Arabidopsis thaliana: one gene and its partners. The protein of the gene in region 3 interacts with the protein of the main gene of each other region in a pairwise test. Each region holds a gene or a part of one and is shown on either strand. Other genes may lie near its edges.

The links.
Region 1: the proteins of AT3G22440 (region 3) and RBP45B interact in a two-hybrid assay, tested with the Arabidopsis thaliana proteins (one large-scale study listed by BioGRID).
Region 2: the proteins of AT3G22440 (region 3) and AT1G33470 interact in a two-hybrid assay, tested with the Arabidopsis thaliana proteins (one large-scale study listed by BioGRID).
Region 4: the proteins of AT3G22440 (region 3) and AT1G07840 interact in a two-hybrid assay, tested with the Arabidopsis thaliana proteins (one large-scale study listed by BioGRID).

Annotation. Positions count from the first base shown.
Region 1 is NC_003070.9:3,912,806-3,918,759, reverse strand, and holds RBP45B (RNA-binding (RRM/RBD/RNP motifs) family protein), read right to left. Parts: upstream 3,987-5,954; 5' UTR 3,866-3,986; coding exon 3,605-3,865; intron 3,333-3,604; coding exon 2,867-3,332; intron 1,740-2,866; coding exon 1,681-1,739; intron 1,594-1,680; coding exon 1,463-1,593; coding exon of another isoform or gene 1,459-1,462; intron 1,345-1,458; coding exon 1,248-1,344; intron 1,023-1,247; coding exon 819-1,022; 3' UTR 517-818; downstream 1-516. Other genes in the region: AT1G11630 (Tetratricopeptide repeat (TPR)-like superfamily protein), read left to right, coding at 4,375-5,592. UniProt on the Arabidopsis thaliana protein: Heterogeneous nuclear ribonucleoprotein (hnRNP)-protein binding the poly(A) tail of mRNA and probably involved in some steps of pre-mRNA maturation.
Region 2 is NC_003070.9:12,142,501-12,147,723, reverse strand, and holds AT1G33470 (RNA-binding (RRM/RBD/RNP motifs) family protein), read right to left. Parts: upstream 3,285-5,223; 5' UTR 3,093-3,284; coding exon 2,937-3,092; intron 2,851-2,936; coding exon 2,718-2,850; intron 2,372-2,717; coding exon 2,245-2,371; intron 2,151-2,244; coding exon 2,114-2,150; intron 2,041-2,113; coding exon 1,782-2,040; intron 1,710-1,781; coding exon 1,684-1,709; 3' UTR 516-1,683; downstream 1-515. Other genes in the region: AT1G33475 (SNARE-like superfamily protein), read left to right, coding at 1-301.
Region 3 is NC_003074.8:7,957,782-7,962,900, reverse strand, and holds AT3G22440 (FRIGIDA-like protein), read right to left. Parts: upstream 3,149-5,119; 5' UTR 3,048-3,148; coding exon 2,135-3,047; intron 1,801-2,134; coding exon 1,625-1,800; intron 1,525-1,624; coding exon 1,015-1,524; 3' UTR 530-1,014; downstream 1-529. Other genes in the region: AT3G22450 (Ribosomal L18p/L5e family protein), read right to left, coding at 1-458; AT3G22436 (uncharacterized protein), read left to right, coding at 4,881-5,003.
Region 4 is NC_003070.9:2,422,044-2,427,245, forward strand, and holds AT1G07840 (Sas10/Utp3/C1D family), read left to right. Parts: upstream 1-2,001; 5' UTR 2,002-2,110; exon of another isoform or gene 2,111-2,231; intron 2,232-2,527; 5' UTR 2,528-2,559; coding exon 2,560-2,603; intron 2,604-2,795; coding exon 2,796-2,883; intron 2,884-3,125; coding exon 3,126-3,305; intron 3,306-3,388; coding exon 3,389-3,568; intron 3,569-3,651; coding exon 3,652-3,819; intron 3,820-3,908; coding exon 3,909-4,060; coding exon of another isoform or gene 4,061-4,088; exon of another isoform or gene 4,089-4,148; coding exon 4,149-4,263; intron 4,264-4,370; coding exon 4,371-4,382; 3' UTR 4,383-4,685; downstream 4,686-5,202. Other genes in the region: AT1G07830 (ribosomal protein L29 family protein), read left to right, coding at 506-674, 906-1,063, 1,242-1,349; AT1G07850 (transferring glycosyl group transferase (DUF604)), read left to right, coding at 4,702-5,202.

The DNA of each region.
Region 1 (5,954 bases), on a different chromosome or scaffold from region 3:
CGGAAAAACCATTAATCAATAGTTTTGTTGAGTTCTTAATTTTTTGATAGATTTCTTATAATTAATGAATAATGATTTCAATTAATGGACATAATTTAGGAATATTACTGATCTAGCAGGGGAAAAATCGCTGACTTTTCTTTTTATTGTAATGAAAGAATTCTAATTTCCTCGGTTATGAAAAAGCTATAAGTCTATAACGTTATGAACTTGAGAAAATAATAATATTGTTTCGGAGCCAACAATTTTTGGTCTCAGATATAAGACAACGATTTGCAAGATCTACTAAATTAATCAAGATTCTCCTTATTATGTGTCCTTTGGTTAGGACAACGGGTCAAGACAATTATTTTAAATATATTTTTCAAAGCTTGGAGCTGTTGATATGAGTCCATACATACATGACTCCAAGATTCATAGTATGTAAAATGTTCAACTTGAGATTTGAGAGACGTATACCACACTGCCTCTACATAGACCTCTAAAGACTCCAACTGTTCTAAAGCTGGAGCCTAGTTGTGCTCAAGATCTCTGGTGATTATCATTCATCGACCACTCTTTTAACATTCAAAAATAAACACATAACCCTAAAATATAATCAACGCTTACGTTCTTTCAAAAGGTGATGAAAACATTAAAAACAGAAGCATCGCAGAAACATTATTAAGAGTTAAAAACTCAACACACACCTAGAGAAAAGCAAAGACAAATAAACTGTGTTTGGGAAAATATTCATAACAAGGCACGCAGAAACAAGTTCATAACAAAGTACGCAAACAACAAGCAGAGTGACATTAACTCAAGCAATACTCTCGGGGTTAGTAGCTAAACCCGACTTGTTGCTGCTGTGGTGGCTGTTGTGGTGGTTGCTGTCCTGCCTGTGGTGTCTGCTGGTAACCACCGCTGTATCCTCCACCAGAGTAGCCTCCGTAATATGCATTAGGGTCTTGAGGCATCGTGTACCCATACTGCTCCTGTCCTTGTCCATACCCACCGTAGTAAAACTGGCTCGGATCCCCCGACTGGAAACCAATATCAAAAAAGCATTTCAGATTATAAAAAGCTACTTGAACTCAACTATTTTAAGCGATTCTGCTATCATCTAAAACAATAGCCTGGACTACATAGTTCTTAGAACAAAAGCCGATACACGGTGAGAGAAGCTGCGATAGTTCTTAGACAAAAGGCGATACACTGTGAGCTGTTTCTTTCTATCATCTAATGTCAATGTAAAGATTATCAATTACCTGTTTGTTCGAAGGACTTCGGCCCCATGAGAGCCTGACGGTTGTTCCGCCTAATTGCACTCCATTCAGCATTCTAAGAGCTTCCTCTGCACAGCTCCTGAAAAGTGAGGGTTGGTCACAAAACACATGATAAAAAAAACTATTAGAATTCTATTCCAAAGACTATTTTAGGGTTAAATGAAAGACAGAGCTTCCAGTAGTAGCAGCAGACTTACTTCTCGGAAAACTGAACGAATCCACAGCGCTTTCCAGCGGGTATTTTCACATGCACAATCTCACCATATTGGCTAAAGACATTCTTCAGATGATCATCCGTGACAGATGCATCTAATCCACCAACAAAAACCTGTACAGTAAATTAAAATGCGTCAGATATAACCGCTTTGGAAGATAACCGAGAGGGACAAATATATAATAGGAGCTTAAGACCCACAGTTGTGTTATTTGGATCATTATCAGTTGTTACCCCTGCAGCAGAGCTCTGGTATGAATCTGCATTTACACGAAAAAACACAGGTATAATGGAAGTAGTAAGTCACTGTAAATTACACATGCAACAAAGTGATTGGAAAACTATGAGGGAGCCTTTTGCAGCCTCATCTAGATATTCACATCAAAATGAAAGCAAATGCAAAGAAGGCATTCACACATATACAACACACCGCCCAAACTCCAAAAGGAGAATAGTATTCAAAGAAGGCATCAGTGATGTTAACATCAATCATAAACTATACGTATAGGATCATTCCATCAACAAGCATTGAGAAAGGATCTGAGGAGCTGCAACCGCAAGAAAACGAGCAAGTAGAGAGCAACAATTACATTTGCATCACATTTCACCCAAGGTTTTTGACTACTCAAGGGTAGATAAAGGTGGTAAACTAAATGAAATGCCTATAGAGAGGAATATAGAGGATTATAAAGGTCAATACTGAAAAAATTAGAAACAATGTATAGACTATTTCTCTGGCCACTCCAGAAACTGTCACATCTGACCAAATCTCATAACTTAAGGATAGAACTTCTATCATCTAGACTCACAAAAACAGTAAAAAAGAGCTTGATGTACTAAAGATATAAGTAAATCAAGTGAAAGATAAGAACTTTAAGTAGAGCGGAATGAAATAGAAAAGTAATTACATAAGAATCGACTTATAAAAGTAAGTAACTGACCAAGAACTGGAATAAAGGTTTGTATAGAAAAGATAAATGGAAATTAAAGTAGGGCTGAATCGAAGGAAAGGGCTAATAAAGGACAACACATGAACTTTAAAACTGACCTAAGCATGGGCACTCAATAAGGAGATAACCATTTCAGCTGAATATCAGTTCCAGGCCTCAAGATGATAGAGAGCCTCTTGACTCCCCTGCTTTGAAACAAACAGGATACAACAAGTGTTCTATAAGATTTCTATCTTTTTAAGTTTTTTAACAGAATTGACTGCGGCCTCAGCGGTAAATGTAGGATGCGGCTTTAGAAAAAGTAATGGAGTCATACTTAGCACAAGGCAGTTAACTAGTTCTTACTTAAGGCAACCTAATCACATAGATACTACAACACACAAATCAAGAGAATGCAAGATCAAATCAGTTCTAATGTGACATATACTTTACTTTACCTCTTTGACCAGTTACACCTTTCTTGCTAGCAGCGGGACCAATTCTCATAGGTCTAGTAGAACAAGGAACGCCATTCATCTCCGTCATAGCACGGATCTGTTCACTTTCATCAGAAAACCTAACAAACCCATATCCTTTTGTACGTCCAGTGACTCTGTCAATAACAACCTTTGCACCCTTCACTGACGGATAAGAGGCTCTGAACGTCTCAAGTAAGATATAATCCGTAACATCAGCAGCCAGATCACCGACAAATATCGTGTAGTCCGGTGAATCGTCTCGTTTATCTCCTGAACTCAATGATGCCCAGTTCAGTCTAAAGAGCTGATCAGGAAAGCTCGGGATAGGAGCGTTGTTGAATGTTTGTAGAACTCTTTCAGCAGCAGCATGAGATGCGAATTCAATGAAACCGTATCCTTCAACTTGACCGGTTTGCTTGTTACGAATCACTTTAGCAGAAACCATCTGCAAAATAAATACTGATAGTGTTAAACCAACTAGTCATTATATAACTAGACAGAACACTCATTAACTCATTGTCGGAAAGAGATTACATATTAAAAAAAATTCAAACATCTAAAGTTAATCTTTTTACACATCAAAATCAAATCTTTCAAATATAAAAGCGAGGAAACAATTAACACTAACAAGTACTTATCAAATTAACCTTAATCTCCTTCGAACAAACAATTAAGCGCGAACGATAAAGCGAAAACAGAGAGATCTGAGAATATTACCTCTCCGGTATGAGCAAAGCAACCGTAGAGGAAATTCTCATCCATCCAATACTGTAAGTCCCCGATCCAAAGAGTCCGGATCTCGTCAGCGGTCGTAGGCTGAACTGATGGCGGCGCCGCCGCTTGAGGATTCCACATCTGTGGTGGTGGTGGAGCAGCTCCAGCAATCCCGTAAGGTTGTTGGTAACCGTACTGTTGTTGCGCAGAAGGAGGAGGAGCGTGATGTGGAAGGATACCTCCGGGTGGTGGCTGCTGCATCATGATGATCGGAGAATAAGATAGAGAGAAAGAACTCTTTTGAATCTCTGACCGTAGAAAAATTGTGATGAAGAAGAAGATAACAAAACAATGCTAAAGATGAGAGATTGTTGATAACCCTTTGAGAAGGCGGCGGTTTGTAATAAAACGATATGTGTTTTACTATATAAATATCCTTTGGTGCTTGTAATCACAAGGGATCCGTGGCGCAATGGTAGCGCGTCTGACTCCAGATCAGAAGGTTGCGTGTTCGATTCACGTCGGGTTCAAACCCCCGGTTTAAACATGATCCTTAACTTTTTATTTAACTTTTTAAAAAATATCCTAGATTCAATCGGAACCGTCCAAGTTGCTGACTAGTCATAAAATCAACGGATGATATGAATTATGTATATGATTTAAGTAAACCATTGAAATTAAAAATTTTATTTTGTCAAACCCCTAAACCGGTTTAAACCTCTTCTCTCTCAGCCGTCGTCTCCATTTCTTCGGGGAAATCATGAACCCTAGTAATGGCGTTCCTCTTCCGCATTCGAACATCGGAATTTATACTCCAGAAAGCGACTCAATTCCGATTGAAGTCTTCTTCTTCATCTATCTTCACACTAAAATCTCTCACTAGCAAGCAGAAGAAGAGCCGAGATACTCTCTCCCTTCTCAAATCCGAGAATAATCCTGATCGAATCCTCGAAATCTGCCGATCCACTTCACTCTCACCTGATTATCACGTCGACCGTATCATCTTCTCCGTTGCGGTGGTGACACTAGCGAGAGAGAAACACTTCGTCGCTGTATCGCAGCTTCTCGACGGTTTCATCCAAAACCAACCCGATCCAAAATCCGAGAGTTTCGCAGTCCGTGCCATTATCCTATACGGCAGAGCGAATATGCTTGATCGATCTATACAAACATTTCGCAACCTCGAGCAATACGAGATCCCAAGGACGGTGAAGTCTCTAAATGCTCTTCTTTTCGCTTGTTTAATGGCTAAGGATTACAAAGAAGCGAATCGTGTCTACCTCGAAATGCCGAAGATGTATGGCATTGAACCTGATCTCGAAACTTACAATAGAATGATTAGAGTCTTGTGTGAATCAGGTTCAACGAGTTCATCATACTCCATTGTTGCAGAGATGGAGAGGAAATGGATAAAGCCAACAGCTGCTAGCTTTGGTTTAATGATTGATGGTTTTTACAAGGAGGAGAAGTTTGATGAAGTGAGGAAAGTGATGAGAATGATGGATGAATTTGGTGTTCATGTTGGTGTAGCTACATACAACATTATGATTCAATGTTTGTGTAAAAGGAAGAAATCTGCAGAAGCAAAGGCGTTGATTGATGGGGTTATGTCTTGTAGGATGAGACCAAACTCTGTGACGTATTCGCTTTTGATTCATGGGTTTTGCAGTGAGGAGAATTTGGATGAAGCTATGAATTTGTTTGAGGTTATGGTGTGTAATGGATACAAGCCTGATAGTGAATGTTACTTCACTTTGATACATTGTTTGTGTAAAGGAGGGGACTTTGAGACAGCTTTGATCCTTTGTAGAGAGAGTATGGAGAAGAATTGGGTTCCGAGTTTTAGTGTCATGAAGTGGCTTGTTAATGGACTAGCAAGTCGTTCAAAGGTCGATGAAGCAAAGGAGCTCATTGCGGTAGTTAAAGAGAAGTTTACCAGAAATGTGGACTTGTGGAATGAAGTCGAAGCTGCATTGCCTTTGCCTCAGTGAACAAAGGTACACATAGAAGAAGTCATTCATCTTCGATTTGACATGAGGATTTGAAGTTTTTGAGATTGGTTAGTTTAGCTGAAATCATCTGTCAAAATTGAAATGAAAGGGGATATAGTTTGAAGAGAATCTTGTCGTTGAGATTAAGAAGCTATCTCTCTAAGGATTGGTGCTGGTGAATTATCAATTTTCTTACTGAATTTTTTTGAACATGTTGTATATAAATGGAATGTAACATTTTTCAATATATCGGAAACGATGAGCCTAATCGCTTCATGGCCTTGCTGATGAATTGAATCTCGAATGTCTTTTGTTGGCATGGGACCATGTTAGCTTCATGAAAATGTCCATCAGGTTAAGCT
Region 2 (5,223 bases), on a different chromosome or scaffold from region 3:
AGGAAGATCCAACAAGCAAGATAAGAAGAAAGGGAGAGATCATGCGCACTCACTAAGAGGTATTGAGATAGAGGAACACCGAAAATCAAATGATAGAGGAAACGTAACAGAATGTTCTAATGCTTCATCTGAATCAGCAACGTATGTTCCAAGAAGGGGACGATCTGGTGGCTCTCAGAGCATTGAGAGGAAGTGGCGGCGTCAAGTGAAGATTGTTCTTGCCATTGATATAGCTATTTGCTTAACGCTGCTTGGTGTTTGGTTGGCTATTTGTCATGGCATTGAGTGTACACGTTCTTGATCTATTTATTCTTCCATATGCATTTTCCTCTTCTGCAGTTATGTTGTAGAGATTGCAGTTTGAAATATTCTGCAGCATTGTTGATTGTATATTAGGTATAGGTCTCAAGTTCCTACGTTGGTTTGTGTATAATATGATGATTTTGTTCTTATAGTTGTACATAAAAACCAGTCTGTTGCTGAATGATTGTAGTAAGGCCTCTTGGCATCAAGATAATGAAAGTAGGGATTCATATAGTAGGAGACATTGTCATAACCTCATACAAGAGGATTATATATCAGATCAAAGTAAAATATTGCAATCACAGTTTCATTTTCCAACCACCGAGGATGGAAACTGAAAGCTTTTAGTTTTCTTACATAGAATCAGAAACACACAGCTTACAAGATATAACAACAAATTACATAAAAAGAGAGTTTTTAGTCTTGAAGAAATAGAGGAAAGAAGTACAAAAGAGAGATAAAGAGGTGATGAATACCTCTCACCTGAAATTCCTAACCATGGTTGGTCAACTGGTTTGGTTGATTGTTATGAGAAGAACCTAAAGGGAACCAAAATATCTCCCAAGAGGCAAAAATACATGCAAATGCAAGAACCCCACAATCCATTAGTGGGGTTGGTTCAAGATATGATGAGCAATCTAAATTTTGAATCTTAAAAATGATCTTAATCTAAGTTAGCTCAAGTGTGGCTATAACTCCAAAGCTTAGCCACCGAGAATATACATGTGTTAGCAATTCCTTTATCCTCAAAGGAAGTTTATGTTCTAGCGTTCTACTACAAGACAATGTGTAACAACATGGTCCTAGATCTAATAATCCTAAGACTGCACATTAAAATGGATATAGCGTGAAGTAGTGTGCACACCTTTGCACACACTACTTCAACACTTCCAGGTGGTGGCAATTCACTTCTTGTGCCTTTCCCGGGAAATCCTTATTTCCTTTCTTGTTGATCAGCCAATCCTAAGTTTTTAAGTTTTTCTACAAAATTGCTTGCCTTTGCGAGGCACTGTGCAAAAGACGGTAACTGTTTACTTCTACAGCTCGAACAAGCTATCTTGAACGAAACCTTCGTTCAGAAAGCAGGTAATGCAATGAATAAAATGAAAAGATGAGTAATGTGTATGAAGATGGTCCTAGTTAAACCCCTATGTGAGACTTAACTAGAACTTGCAAAGACGCCCAAACTCCAAATTATGGGCTTCTTTGTCTAATGGGTTAGAAGCATAAAGGGAAAAGGGCAACCATGGTTAGGCCACAGGTCTTGTGAAACTTCAGAGGCATGTGGATGAAAGTAGTAAACAAAGCTTTGCCTTAAGGATTTAAATGAATTGGTCCCCTACATAGCATCATGGAACTATGAACCACGAGCCTTCATGGTCAAGCCTGTGGAACTGCAAAGCAAACTGCTGGAGAACATCAGTACCTCTAGTTTTCCATGTTGTGTATGAACAACGAAAAAATATAAAGAAACTAACCTGATGGTATGACTGGTGAAGGTGCAAGAGACACTGGTGAACCATTGTGATGCGGGTAGTTTCCCCCGGGAGCAGAATAGTGAAACATGTGGTTGGGGTAGTGGAGGGGAGCATAACCAGTGACAGGTCCATTTCCTTCAGCAAACTGGAGATATGGGTAGAACCCTGCTGCTGGTGCTGCTGCTACACCAGTCATTGGTCCGCTTCCATACATTGGATGCTGAGCAGTTGCCCCTCCATAAACATTGTAATAGCTCTGCTGTAAAAACAATAATCCAATAAGCTATAAGAGATAAGAGTAGAGTAGGGAGAGACTCTTACAATATACATACCGTGGGGTAATTGTAATCCATTGAGTATGAAGAGAACCTAAGAAAGTTTAATGAAACCAAACAGAGGATTTATCAGTCTAAGTAGAGTGATGAGTATAGAAAAATCAAGTAAGAGATTAAACGTGGAGTACCCAAAAGGATTAGTGTAAGGAAGTGTGTAGTGGGAGAATGGAAGTGGGGAAGGAATAGCAGTAGCCGCGGTCCCAAAGTGTGTCTTGAAAGGGCTAGTCACCTTCATGCCTCTTCCTCCTACATGTCCTGCCATAACACAACAACATGAGAATCTCCTCTCAAACATTTGCTTTCAGACAAGAACAAAACACAACATATTTAACCAGAAGATTTAACTAACTAGTGTAGTCTGCAGAAGAATTATAAAGACTAGTGAGCAAGAAAATGGCTTTACTGAATCAACTAAGGAATCAAGATGAAGCTATACCTCAAACAATAAAGTAAGACAATTCATAAAGTATCTAACTTTGCTACTAATATGTGAGACATGTGATTCAAGACATACAATTCCAGCAAGATCCATGGATTTACATATACTCTTGATGTAGGGTTTTCAAAAGTAAAGTATCAAAAGACAGAAACCTAAAAGTACCATGAATAGGAGAAGAAGGTTTGGATCTCTGAACACCAAAAGCAGCAAGATTACAATTAGCTCTTCTTCCATCAATAACAGGAGCTGGATCTACACAAGCTTTCTGAGCTGCTTCCGGATCACAAAAAGTAACCTTTACAAAAAAAAAACAGAACCCGTGAGCTTGAAGCTATAACAAATCTCCAAAGTAAAAAGAAACAAGAAGAAGAAGAAACTTACAAAGCCATAGCCTTTAGATCTACCACTAGATTTATCAGTGATAACGACAGCTTCAACAATGTCACCAAACTGTTCAAAGTAATTCCTGAGAGAGACTTTGTGTGTTTCCCAAGCTAATCCTCCAACGAACACTTTGGTAAATGTTGTGTCTTCCATTTCAGAAACAAGGGAAAATTCCACGAAGTAAAGTTTCCGGTTTTGGGAACAGAAGAAGCAGAGAGACGGTAGTTGAGAAACGAGAGAGAGAGAAGAAGGAGGAGGGAAGAGGATTCAAGGAAAAGTCTCAGGGAAAAAAGAGAGAATTTGGGGACACACTCATTGAATTATTTAACTTAGCTTTTCACAAATATCAATGACATTTTTTTTATTTTATGTACGGTCACTGTGTGTTTTTGTACACTTTTTTCTTGTTGGTCGGATCCACTCTGTAAAATAGATTTACAGTTGGAAAACATTTATTTTAGCTATTATTTAATTTTTGGTCTTTTATATTGGTGGAAAATCTTAAAATTGAAATTTTCTGTATTTTTAATTCTACCAAAAAAAGATATTCAACAAAAAAAACTTTCCCTTAGCAAATAACTAACCGAGAAATAACATACACAAAAAAAAAAAAATATAACTAACAGAGATATACTATATATAAAAAAATACATTTTTTTTTGACCAATATTAAATTATAGCTCAAAAGAGTTTTTTTTTTTTTTTAGTTTACATATCCCTCAAAATAAGTTGAACTACTGAATATATTTAGCATTTTAACATTTTCACAAAAGTTGGTCAAAAAAATTAATATACCAACCTTTTAATTTTTTATTATCTTCATAAGAATCCATATTATGATTGCACACAAGTTGTGTAACTTATTTGTAAGACATCAAATGATTCATGCATATGCATATTTCTTAGAACATGATTTAATGTGTTAGCCTACATATTTATATGTAAATCAAATCAAATCTAAAATTGATTGATAGTTAGCAAAATATTTCAGAATTTTAGTGATTAAAATTATGCCGATTTACATTCATTTACAAAAAAAAATGAGCAAAATGTTACGAAAAAGGTAATCTTAGTTTACAAATAGTTTTTTTTTTAATATCATTATTCCTTCCTGTTTTTAACTATAACGCTTATTAATTTTCTATTCGTTAAAAAAAATTATGAAGAATTATTGGTCTTCGTTTACAAAAAAATTTACTGACTTACAGATTTTTCCACTATCTTAGTTTACAAAAAAATTATTGGTTTGTATCACTTTTCATGACAATCTAAAATCTAGTTTACTAATTTGGAGATAAATTCTACTATTCTAAATACAAAATTATGAATTCTACATTTTGAAGTAAACATTTACTGACTTACAGATTTTTCCAGCCAAACTTAATAAGATAGATAATGTATATGAAGAATTAAATTAAAAATTGGTTAATATAACACTTAAGTCTATAATTCTTCTTTATGAGATCTCACAACTACAACAAGAAAAAGTCGGTCCTATTATCTTCAGCCAAAAGTGATTTTTCTAAAACTAGATCAATCTTACAAAATCATGTTTTGTATTACAATGTTAGTATGACTGATTTTTGAGCCATAAATTATTTCGATTCTCAGCTTTCACCCCGGACTTTTGGGCCCTTAAATTTCCACCATCAACTTTCATATTCCTCAAAATTACATTATCTACTTTCGAATTCATGCTTAAACATACATTTCCAATTGAACCATTCATTTAACCGGGATTAACCACAAATCTGCGTTTACTGTACCGCGATTGCGATTAACCCGACTAATACCCAGACCCGTTAAGAAAACGACGTCGTTTTCATTTCGTTTAACTCATCAAAAAGAGAAAGAAAACGATGTCGTTTTCATTCTTCTTTAACTCTCAAATCGATTTGGTCGTTCTTCTTTAATCTCGACACTGTGAAATTAGGGTTCTTGAGAGAGAAAGACAAAAGGAGATTTGGGGTTTTCTTCTTCGATTCGAATTTCTGGGTCTCGATTTGGGTTTCGAATAGGGAGAAATGAAGAATTGGTGGGAGGAAGGATTGATTTACCAAATCGATCCAGATGACCCCGATTTCGAACCTCCAGAGAGTGACATTGAAGCCGACGATGGAAGTGATAGTGGTGATAGCGGAGTCGAGGAGGACGAAGCCACCGGAGTTGAGGGAGACGACGTCGGGATAGATGGAGACAGAGAATCTGATGGAGAGGAGAATAGAGAAGACGATGGTGATATAGCGTCTGATGGAGACATCAATCTAGAAGACGATGGAGACAG
Region 3 (5,119 bases):
TTGTTATCCTTCTTTATCTTTGTTTCTTCTTCTTGGTTTTGCTCCTTTTTAGCGTTCTTGTGTTGATTCTTGCGGTGGAAGTCATAGTTGTATTCCTCGAATTCTTTTGAACCTCGATCGAGCTTGAAGAAAAGATCACCGCGAATTCTCATGTTATCGATTTCATCGTGATCGGGATCTTCATCATCGAGTATTGTTTCTCTTACTCCTTGTATTGTAACGGGAGAGTTTTTTGCAGTGTCTGCTTGGAACTGTCTCCAAGCTTGGGATAAAGATGATGAAACATGCCAAACATCATCATCCACAGTTTCTATACCACAACCACTCAAACCAGTCACTGTAACTTTACCACTTTCACTGTTGGAAAATCTCGAGGAGAAGCAACGCGGTGCAGGTCGAAAAACGGAGATAAAATCTGGCAAACGGAGACACTTTCTTCTCAAAACCATCAAAGCCATTGAAGGAAAAGAGACCAATTCTGAAAACGCACGTGAAAACTAAACGGTAAGATTTCAAAGAGACATATCGTCGAACATCTGGTGTGCAAGGTTGGTAAAGAGAAATTTCTCACCACTGGCTTTGTGTCTTGTACCGAAATTGAATCACCACTTTGCTCAATGAAGAAGAAATGCAATTCAACAGAGAACTGGTGGGTATGTCTTCAAAGCAACGACCTCCGATGTTAGATTTGATCGGAGATAGTTGGTGACGAAGAGAAGTTTGTCATTCGATTAACAGAGTACAGAAATATAAGTTTGTTGACTGAATATTAGACATTACAAAAGCTTGAGTTTTGTTTTATATGCGATTAATAATAAACACACCAGAGGATATAAGCTAAGTTACTAAGAGAGTTAGGCTGAGAAAGAGATATTACAGACAAAAACGACGACGTAGGAAGACAATAGACCCAGAGAGAGAGAACACCAGAGTAGTAGCAGTTGTCACAGTATCAGTGATTTGTTGGTTATTACCAATCTTCTTCCTTGTTTTGTTGTCACACTGTCTTCTAATTCAGTAGTAATGTTGCTGATGGTGGAATTGGTGGTGTTGATGATGGTGTGGGTGGTAAACTGGAGGAGCTGGAGCAGGAACTGGACCATTACAATAACCGTTGTACGCTGGGTAACCGATAGGAGAGCCTTGGTATGAGCCTGGGATGATCTCCGGAGAGTATGGATAAGGTGGGCTTCTGTTGCTGTAGACTGTTGTAGGTGGGGATGGGTAAGCTGCTGGTGAAGCGTATTGAGGAGAGTGAGAGGGTGATCTGATGAACGGGAAGGAAGAGACGTATGCGTTTGTGATACGCCCGGCTTTGGCTGGTGGCATTGGACCGTTGTAGCTGGCTCGGGTTCTTTTGTTGGCAGGAACAGCTGCTGGCTTTCTCTTCTCGGTTTTGGTCTTCTCTAGCTGATCCAACCGTTTCTTGAGGTTCTCTGGAGGGAACTCTTCCTCGAGTTTGTACTCTTCTATGCATTTTAAAACCGCCTTAAGTGCTGATTGCTCCTTGCGCGCCACGAGATGCTTAGGAAGAAAACATAACAAGGAAGATATTAACTTTCAGGGACGCACAGATAAAAATATTTAGCTGCGATAGAAATGAGTAGATGCAATGAGTAGATACCGTAGCTCGGCCAGTATTGCTAGAGTCCTCCATGATAGAAGCTGCTGACTTCTTTGCGTCCCTTAGATAAGCTTTGAGCAAAGGAACAGGAGGGAACTTATCCACAAGCCCAACTTCATAAGTAAAATGAACAGCATCAAGCTGTTGTCCCCTGCTGATTAATTCTTCAATCATGTCTGTGGACAGCGCAACAACTTGTAAGTTCAGATATTATAAAACGAGATACAGAGAAAAAGGCTTCAACTTCACACAGTCTGTGGTCAATAACACCTTGTACCACTAATGTCTCAGACTTCACCACAATCTATGCCATACAATGTTTGCCACACAAACTTAATATTCGACTAATCAACTCGTAAACTATTTGTAACCTACCAAAACTATACATCTAGATGGGTTAAACTATTAGTAAACTAGCCAATTTCAAAACCATATATGATCTCACAAGTTACAATGAGCATGCCAGGATAAAAAACTAATAGGTAGAAGATAAGAGCTTAAGAGGATTACCAGGCATTTGATCACCCAAACCAACAGAAACCGCAAGCTTAGGCATCTGTTTACGCCACGCAGATCCAACAACAAGCTTTCTATACAAAGCAAGATCTTCACTTTTAACAATTCCAAATGTAACAAGATGCTGCAAAAACGTATGAACATCAGGAGTCTTCACATTCTCTATCCTTCCTCTCTCTTCCAAACTCTTCTTCCACGTCTCAGCAATCTCCTTAGCTTTCTCCTTAACACTCGGAGTAACAAGCAACCTCGATTTCCCAATCACTGGATCAACAATTACAGGTGTTAAACTCTCAAGAATCACAACACAAGCCCATCCATAATCATTGCTAACTTTATCTCCTCTTGTATCCACCGGAAAAACCTCAGATATCGCTTCAAGCACTAACATCGCCGGATCTACACAATCAACCAACGCCGCCGGAATCTTTGACCGGAGATTCTCCAACTCCTTCTTCCTCGCCGTCACAAAGTTCCAAAAACCTCTCGCATCCATTTTAAGACAAAGAGATTTCAAAGCAGAAAGAAGACCTTCTTCATCGTCAACATCACCGGAATCATCATTAGAACCATCACCACAACCATCTCTAGCTTTCTCTAACGATTCAAGAGCAGCTCTAGCTCGTTCACCTACTTTCCCAGCTACGATCTCAACGCTATGGTCGATTGTTACCTCTCTACGCTTCAGAGACTCGAGCGAGGTCTGAGTCTGGTTATCTAGAGTTTCAATCATCTGCTTCAACGCTTCAGATTTCTTCATCAGATTCTGCTCTAGAGAAGTGAAGTGATCGGAGAGCTCTTGCCATAGAAGAGTACAGCTAGTCATCAACGACGTCTGTTTCTGAAACTCCTCGAAACTCGGCTGAGCTAACTCAGTTAACTCGCCTGGATCGGGGACTGACCCCATCGCCGGAATCGGAAAAGAAACTCAAACTCCGTTGATTTGATTGATACAGCAGAGAAGAATAAACTCAAGAGAGAGAGTGAAATTGAAGAAACCCTAGAAATGGGAAAAAAGTAAAGAGACGAAGAAGAAGATAAGAGACAAAAGAAACAGTGACGTGGACAACTCGAAATAGCGACACGTCTCAGTGGAGTCTGATTAAAGGCGCGATTATTACATATTCTTCTATATTGCGCCGTCGACGCGTAGCTTAGCGTGATATGCGTAGTATAAGAGAGTTGGGTGATGACGTGGTAATAATAATAAGTACTATTACTATAGCTTTGCTTTAATTTTTCGTATAAAGAAAAAAAAAGGTGAAAGAGATAAGTGGGCCAAGCCCACTGACCACCACATGCGTTGAGTCGGAAACCAGTGAAGCATTGCCGGTAAAATACCAATTGAATAACAAAAAACTATATAGTATAGCAAAAAAAAAAAAATGTTGTTATAATTAATATGAAATTCTTTGTGTAGTGTAATGTAGTAATGTAAGAAGAAGAACAATGCATGTGTTTTGTAGAAAAGGCTGTAATGAAATCAGGGCACGCGTGACAAATGTTAAAACGTGATAATGAAGCAACCACAAAGAAGATTCATTAGTACACATATAAAACTAATCTTCGTACTATGTTTTTAATATCTTTGTGATATCAAAACAGAAGAATAGAATAAAAACGAAATTTTGAATTTGGTTTTATTAAAGCTATTGCTTTTTTGACATCAGTGGAATGGATATATCATAAAAACTTTTTTCTGTTGATATGTACAAAATGTTAAAACGGGACAGTGACATATAACACATTATTGAGGGGAAATATCCATTACTCTTTTAGACCTCTTGCTATTAGAGTATGATTTTATAGTTACAAAAAGGTTAGAGAAACATTACAAAATTAGAATGAGACGAAATATGAAACTGACGGCTAAGAATAATTTATCTAATTAAATGGGTCCGTAATGGCCGACTACATATGAACCGCCGATTACTGTTTCCGCTTTATAGAAAAAGTGAGTAGAGAAATTTGAAAAATGTGAGGGAGATAATCGAATTCAAAAGAGATAATGATTTAAATTTATGCATTGATTTGACCTCAGTCTAGCTAGTCTTATAGTAATATGATTATGACATTTTACATAATCTAGTCTTTTTTCTAATATGTTTAATTCTCTTATAGTGCATGTAACTCTATCAAAAGATACAAAGTACTTTGTCCTGCATATTGTACATTCATAAAATTATATCCTAGTTGTTATGATATTGGCCAAACTATAATCCTATATGTTATATTAACTTTCACTACCGGATAGTGCTTGATTACTTTCATAAGTGTTAAGGTTTATCTTAAATTCTTAATCACACGGCCTAAACCGAAGCTGATCAAACTTCCTTTAACAAAACGTGTAAATTGGTAAGCCAGAGCGAACCAAAGATTTGAATGAAGACATGTAATAAAGTTTATCAGAACACAAGAAAGTAGAGGGGAAAAAATCGTCAAAACACTTTATACCTAACTTGTCAATTAAAGAGTTATAAACAAAGACAAAACAAAATTTATATAGTGGTTACCAAAAGCCCCCACAAAATACAAGTCCTCTTATCTAATGTTTATTTTTGTTTTCATACCAATTTATAATTTTTTTTTTATTTTTTTTTATTCAAAGAAGATAGCTAGCTTAAACTAAACACCACCATTGTTGTCACCAATCTAAGGTGACCAAATACATAAAGCTACTACCAGAGTGCAAACAAAAACAATAACTCAATGTCATAGACATCATCAATACAATGGCACTATGGCAACATTGTTTGGTTGGTTCAATATTCTCATTTCCATAGGCTGGCTAAAGCCTAAAGAACAAGCAGGAACCACTATTCGAAAGGATGAGATAGAACAAGGAAAGAAGAAACGAACGTAGGAGAATCAACAGGGACATCAAAAGCATCAAGCAACTATCACAATATACTTCTAAGGATGTTGGTAAAGAGAACTTGTATATATCAGGTTCAACCGATATTAGACTATGCAATATGA
Region 4 (5,202 bases), on a different chromosome or scaffold from region 3:
TAACAATACTTGACGGATCGATGACGTGGATTGCTCCCAATTTAATTGAAAGATGTTGTTTTATTGAAAAACAAAACAAAAACAGCATTCGTCTTCCAATAATTTGCAAGTGTTGGGTCTTATTAGGCCTTAAAAGAGAAAATGAAACCTGGCCCAATAATAGTATCAATACTAACAGAGCTAGTATTGGGCCCTAAAAGTTTCCGTCTCCGTAAACCTGTTATTCTCGGAGAAACGTTGAGAGAGGGTTTTCCATTCTCTGTGGCCGTCACCGTCGCCGTGAAATAGCTCTCCTCTCTCTATCTCCGGTGAGTTCTTATTTATTCCTCTGCGAGATGTGCTTTTCTGTGTACACGATCTCTCACTTCTTCGGAAGCCTGAAATATTTTGTACGACTTTCATTAACCATTTACCATTTTGTTATCCAATCTCGATTTCTCTTTCTGATTGTTGTTGATGATCAGATTATATAACTGCAAGCTCAAAGGAATTGTTTGTTGTTAAAATGTTTCTTACGCGATTTGTCGGGAGGAGATTCTTGGCGGCTGCATCGGCGCGATCGGAGTCCACTACAGCAGCAGCAGCTGCCTCGACGATTCGGACGCCAACAAATCCACTCGAAGAGTTCTTTGAGTTCGACAGAAGCCAAGACGAAGATAAACCTGTTGTCTATGGTAGCTTCTCTCTGTTTTCTGCCACTCATCTGCTTAATACTAGTTTACTAGTGGGATTGTTCATAGAATGTACAGTGAAGAAGTAAAGTAATTCACTGTAGCTTAGGACTGTAGTCAAGCTTGCTAATCGTTCGTTTTTCTTCTTAACTTTGTTATCCTCCCATGGAGTTTTTGGAATTAGGATTGTTTAGTTTTGTTAATGGGGGAAAATTTGTAAACTTCTGGTGTTAGGTCGAGGTTGGAAAGCTTCAGAGCTGCGTCTCAAGTCATGGGATGATCTTCAGAAGCTGTGGTACGTTCTTCTCAAAGAGAAAAACATGTTGATGACTCAGCGTCAGATGCTTCAGGCTCAGAACATGCAGTTTCCTAACCCTGAACGCATTCCAAAGGTAATCGATACTAATTTGGCTTTGACTCTCTATCCAATTAAGTTGTTGACAAAATAATAGATACTACGAGAAGAAACATGAATCCTTTCTTCAAGGAATGGTTATGTTCTTTGTTACCGAGGGAGATTATGATTATTTTTTAATGAATGTCAACTTTGTTTGCCTCTCACAAATATAGGTGAGGAGATCAATGTGCCGCATTAAGCATGTGCTGACCGAGAGAGCGATTGAAGAACCAGATTCTAGAAGATCAGCCGAGATGAAGAGAATGGTAAATGGTATGTGATCCCATTGGCTCTTGTTTTGGCAACCTAGCAGTAAGCACGAGTCAATCCGCAGAGGTGTTGAGTTTTTCGGAGTAAGAAATAACGCATAGCTTTCAAGACTTTGGAACTGGTCCAATGATTGTGACTGTAGTAGTGTCGGCAGTAGAAAAACGTTTGGTTGGTATCTGTACGCACATTTCTGTAACTTATGGTTGATGTTTCTTTTTGAGACACATGTTGGTCAGTGTTGATTCAGAGCTTTGTCTTTCTCTTAAAACCAACATAAACGGTAATGGCAAGGCAACGACACTGATGAAGTAGATTTTGGCAGATGAAAGATTTGGTGGTTTAGTCGAGTCCTATATGGGCTATATGGAGGAGACTGAAGGAATCAGAACTCAGTGTTCGTTCTCAAACTCAACTGATTATTGTGACTAACGACACAGCAAAAATTAAAATAAAATCTGATTATTTGATTATAAAAGAAAAGAATCATATTGTCGAAACTGAATAACCAAAATGATTAAACCACCAAAACCATAGATTGCGCTAAATTATTTGCTTGCGTCTTGCGATAATTAAACTTAGCCACCCTTATTGGGCCCTAAAGCTAAATGGGGCCTGAAATATGTTAGAATCATGCGTCTCCTTAAAACCTTTTTTTTTTTGTTTTAATTGTCGGAAAATCAGTAGAGAGAGGCTTTCGATTAATTTTACTTTGTGGCCGCCGTGACCTTTTTCTTAGCGTCGCTCTCTGTCACCTTCAAGTTCACTATCTCCGGTGAGTGCTTTCTTCTTCGTGTCTTTTCCGCTTCTAGATTTGGTGTACCGACAACCACTGAGCTCAATTAATCGAGTCAAAACGGAGAGATAGTTGCTCTGTTGGGAATTCATCAATTTTGGTTAGCATTGGGTTATCGTGAATGTTTGTTTCTATGAATTAGTAAATTGGTAGACAGTATTTGTAGGAAAACGTAAGGATTGAAGATGAAACTTTTATTTAGCTACTCTTTGGCTGCTTACTTAGATATTCAAACGTTGTTGGACCAAACCATAATCTCTGTTCCAAAATCTCAACATGAATTAAATTCTTTTCGTTCTCAGTTACTATGGTTTAGTTTATCTGAGTATCTTAATGTGGTATTCAAATTCAAGGGTTAGTCTCTGAACTTTCATGTTTGTTTTCCTTTTTTCACAGACTTATCTTCTGTCAAGTACTGAACAAGAATCATGGAGGAGATCACCAAACCGGTCCTTGTTGGAATAGTTAAGAAGTGAGTTATTCTTACCCATCATGAAATTGTTCTCTGTTTTAGCCATAAAGAAAAAAAGAATACAGCTTGAATAATGAATCGTTGAATCACTTTAATTGTCACAACTCACAATCAAACGAAAATAATAACTTGTGTATTTAGATATGCCTCATGTTTTTACTGGTCTCGTTTTTGTTATTGTAACTGTCTCAGAGAAGCTCCACAGCTAGCATCCGTGTTGAGAGAAATGAAGAATGTTCTAGATGTGGTTAGGAGCAAAGTGGAAGCTCTGACTGCATTGGTACGTAATCTGATAACATATTTTTGTTGGATTCTACTTTATTAATATCTACTCGGTCTCGTCTATAACATGTCTAGTTTCAATTGGGTATAAGTAGAATTGACGACTTCGAGAACAAACTGTTTGCTTCTCCTTGAGGATTTTTAACCAAAGTATTGTATATAGCTGCATCTGCCGTTACCATTCAGAGACACAATGGGTCATTCATGACATCCTGACTTTCTTAATTTTACAAATCGTAGGTAAAAGCAAACAGTTTTCCGACAGCGGGTGGGATAAGTTATCTTGAGGCCAAGCATCTGTTACTTCTAAGTTATTGCCAGGATCTTGTATATTATATTCTAAGGAAAGCAAAAGGACTCTCTATTGATGGTCATCCTCTTGTAAGGAGCCTTGTAGAGATACGTATGTTTCTGGAAAAGGTTTGCATCTTTGTCTTTTTCCACTTTCTATATCGCCAACAAGTCATGGAGTCATAGTTTTAGCTTGTTTTTCTTTTGTGTAGATTCGTCCCATAGACAAAAAACTTCAGTACCAGATTCAGAAGCTCACCACAGCCGGTGGGCCTGTGACAGAGCTAGCTCATTCCGAGGGAAAGGGGTCGTGTGAAGCCCAAAAATCTGAAGATCTTTCAAATTATAAGCCTAAACCTGACTTACTTGCTGACAAAGAGGATGACCAAGAGGTGAAACCTTACTATCCTCCAACACTTGTGAAGAAATATGTTGCGTGTTATTTTTATTAACCTCTTTGCCTGTGTAAATGTAGGATGATGGTGTTTATCGACCCCCGAAATTTGCCCCTATGTCTATGGAAGATAAGACTTCAAAACAAGAAAGAGATGCTGCCAGAAAAGAGAAACACTTTTTTAGACAAGCCACTGAAAATACATACATGAAAGATGTGTTGGACGATCTGGAGGACAGGCCTGAAGAGGTGAGTTGGAAGGAAATTAATTTGCAGTTGATATGCGTGGTAGAGATTAATTTGATGTTGGAACTAAATGGGTGAATGAATATGAACAGATTAGAGACTATTATGGGGTTGAGAGCAATGAGCAGAAGAGGTTTATGGCACAGTATGAAAGGCAACAAAAGGCAGAAGAAGAGCTCTTTACCCGGGCACCTCGCACTAAAGAGGATAAGAAGAGAGAGAAGCGCTTGAAATCAAGCAGCGGGTACGTGTTTGCTTTGGTTGGAAACTGAAGTGTCTGATATGTAATTGGTCCTTATGTGATGATACACACTCATGTTCAACTGAATCAGGTTGCATGAACTAACCGAGAACTTTTACGATGATATCAAGTTCTTGGATAAGGATGGTGAAAAGCCAAGAAGCTTCGGCCGTAATAAAAGGGGAGGGCCATTCAAGAAAAGAAAGGTAACTTTTTTCTTATTCTACTATTTTTTTCTCAAATATTCTGCCTTTTTTTGTTTTTGTTTTTCAGTTTCTTTTGTGTTTGACAATGTATTGTTCAATTTTCGCAGACAAGGCACTGATATGGATACACCAGTGGTTCCTTTAGCTGCTTCAGTGCACCAATTTTGTTGCCATGAAAAAGATACAAATTTTCGATTTGCTTTTATGATTAAATGTTGAAAGTGGTGAATGTGAGAACTTGTTATCAGTTTTAGTATTGGTTCATGGTCATGCTCTTGCAGTAAAATTAGGAAGAGACCTTTTCTCTTTAGCTAAATTTAGCCTGTTACTACTGAAACTTCGTTATCATTTATAAAAAGAGATGTCACCAAATCTGATTGAAAACAAACAAACAAAACAAAGTAGTGTCGATCTATTTCTTTTCTATTCCCATTAGCGATGGGAAACAGTTCGAGCTCTAACACCAATCTCAGCAACCCTAAGAACATACTTCTAGAAGATCATCACCACCAAAGAAACCAAGCACAAAACCACAGCAACTCTGCTCGGACCTCTCACCTAAGCTTCTTAAGATCTCCTCTGCCATGGCTCTTCATCTTCCTCTTCTTCCTCCCTTTGCTTCTCATCTCTACAACCGGAGGAGGTGGCTCACGCAAGACCTGCCGTCCCTCTTCTTCTACCTACAGCCACCTGTCCCTAGTCGACAAAGCAAACTCATCTTCCTCTGTTGTTCCCGAGGAAGAAGACGACGATGTGCCTCCACGTGTCCCCGCTCTTTACCCGCAGCGACCAAGGATGTTCAACACGACGCTTGATCACATCGTTTTCGGGATTGCCGCGTCCTCTGTTCTGTGGGAGACGAGAAAAGAGTACATCAAATCATGGTGGCGACCTGGTAAAACTCGTGGCGTTGTCTGGATTGACAAGAGAGTCAGAACT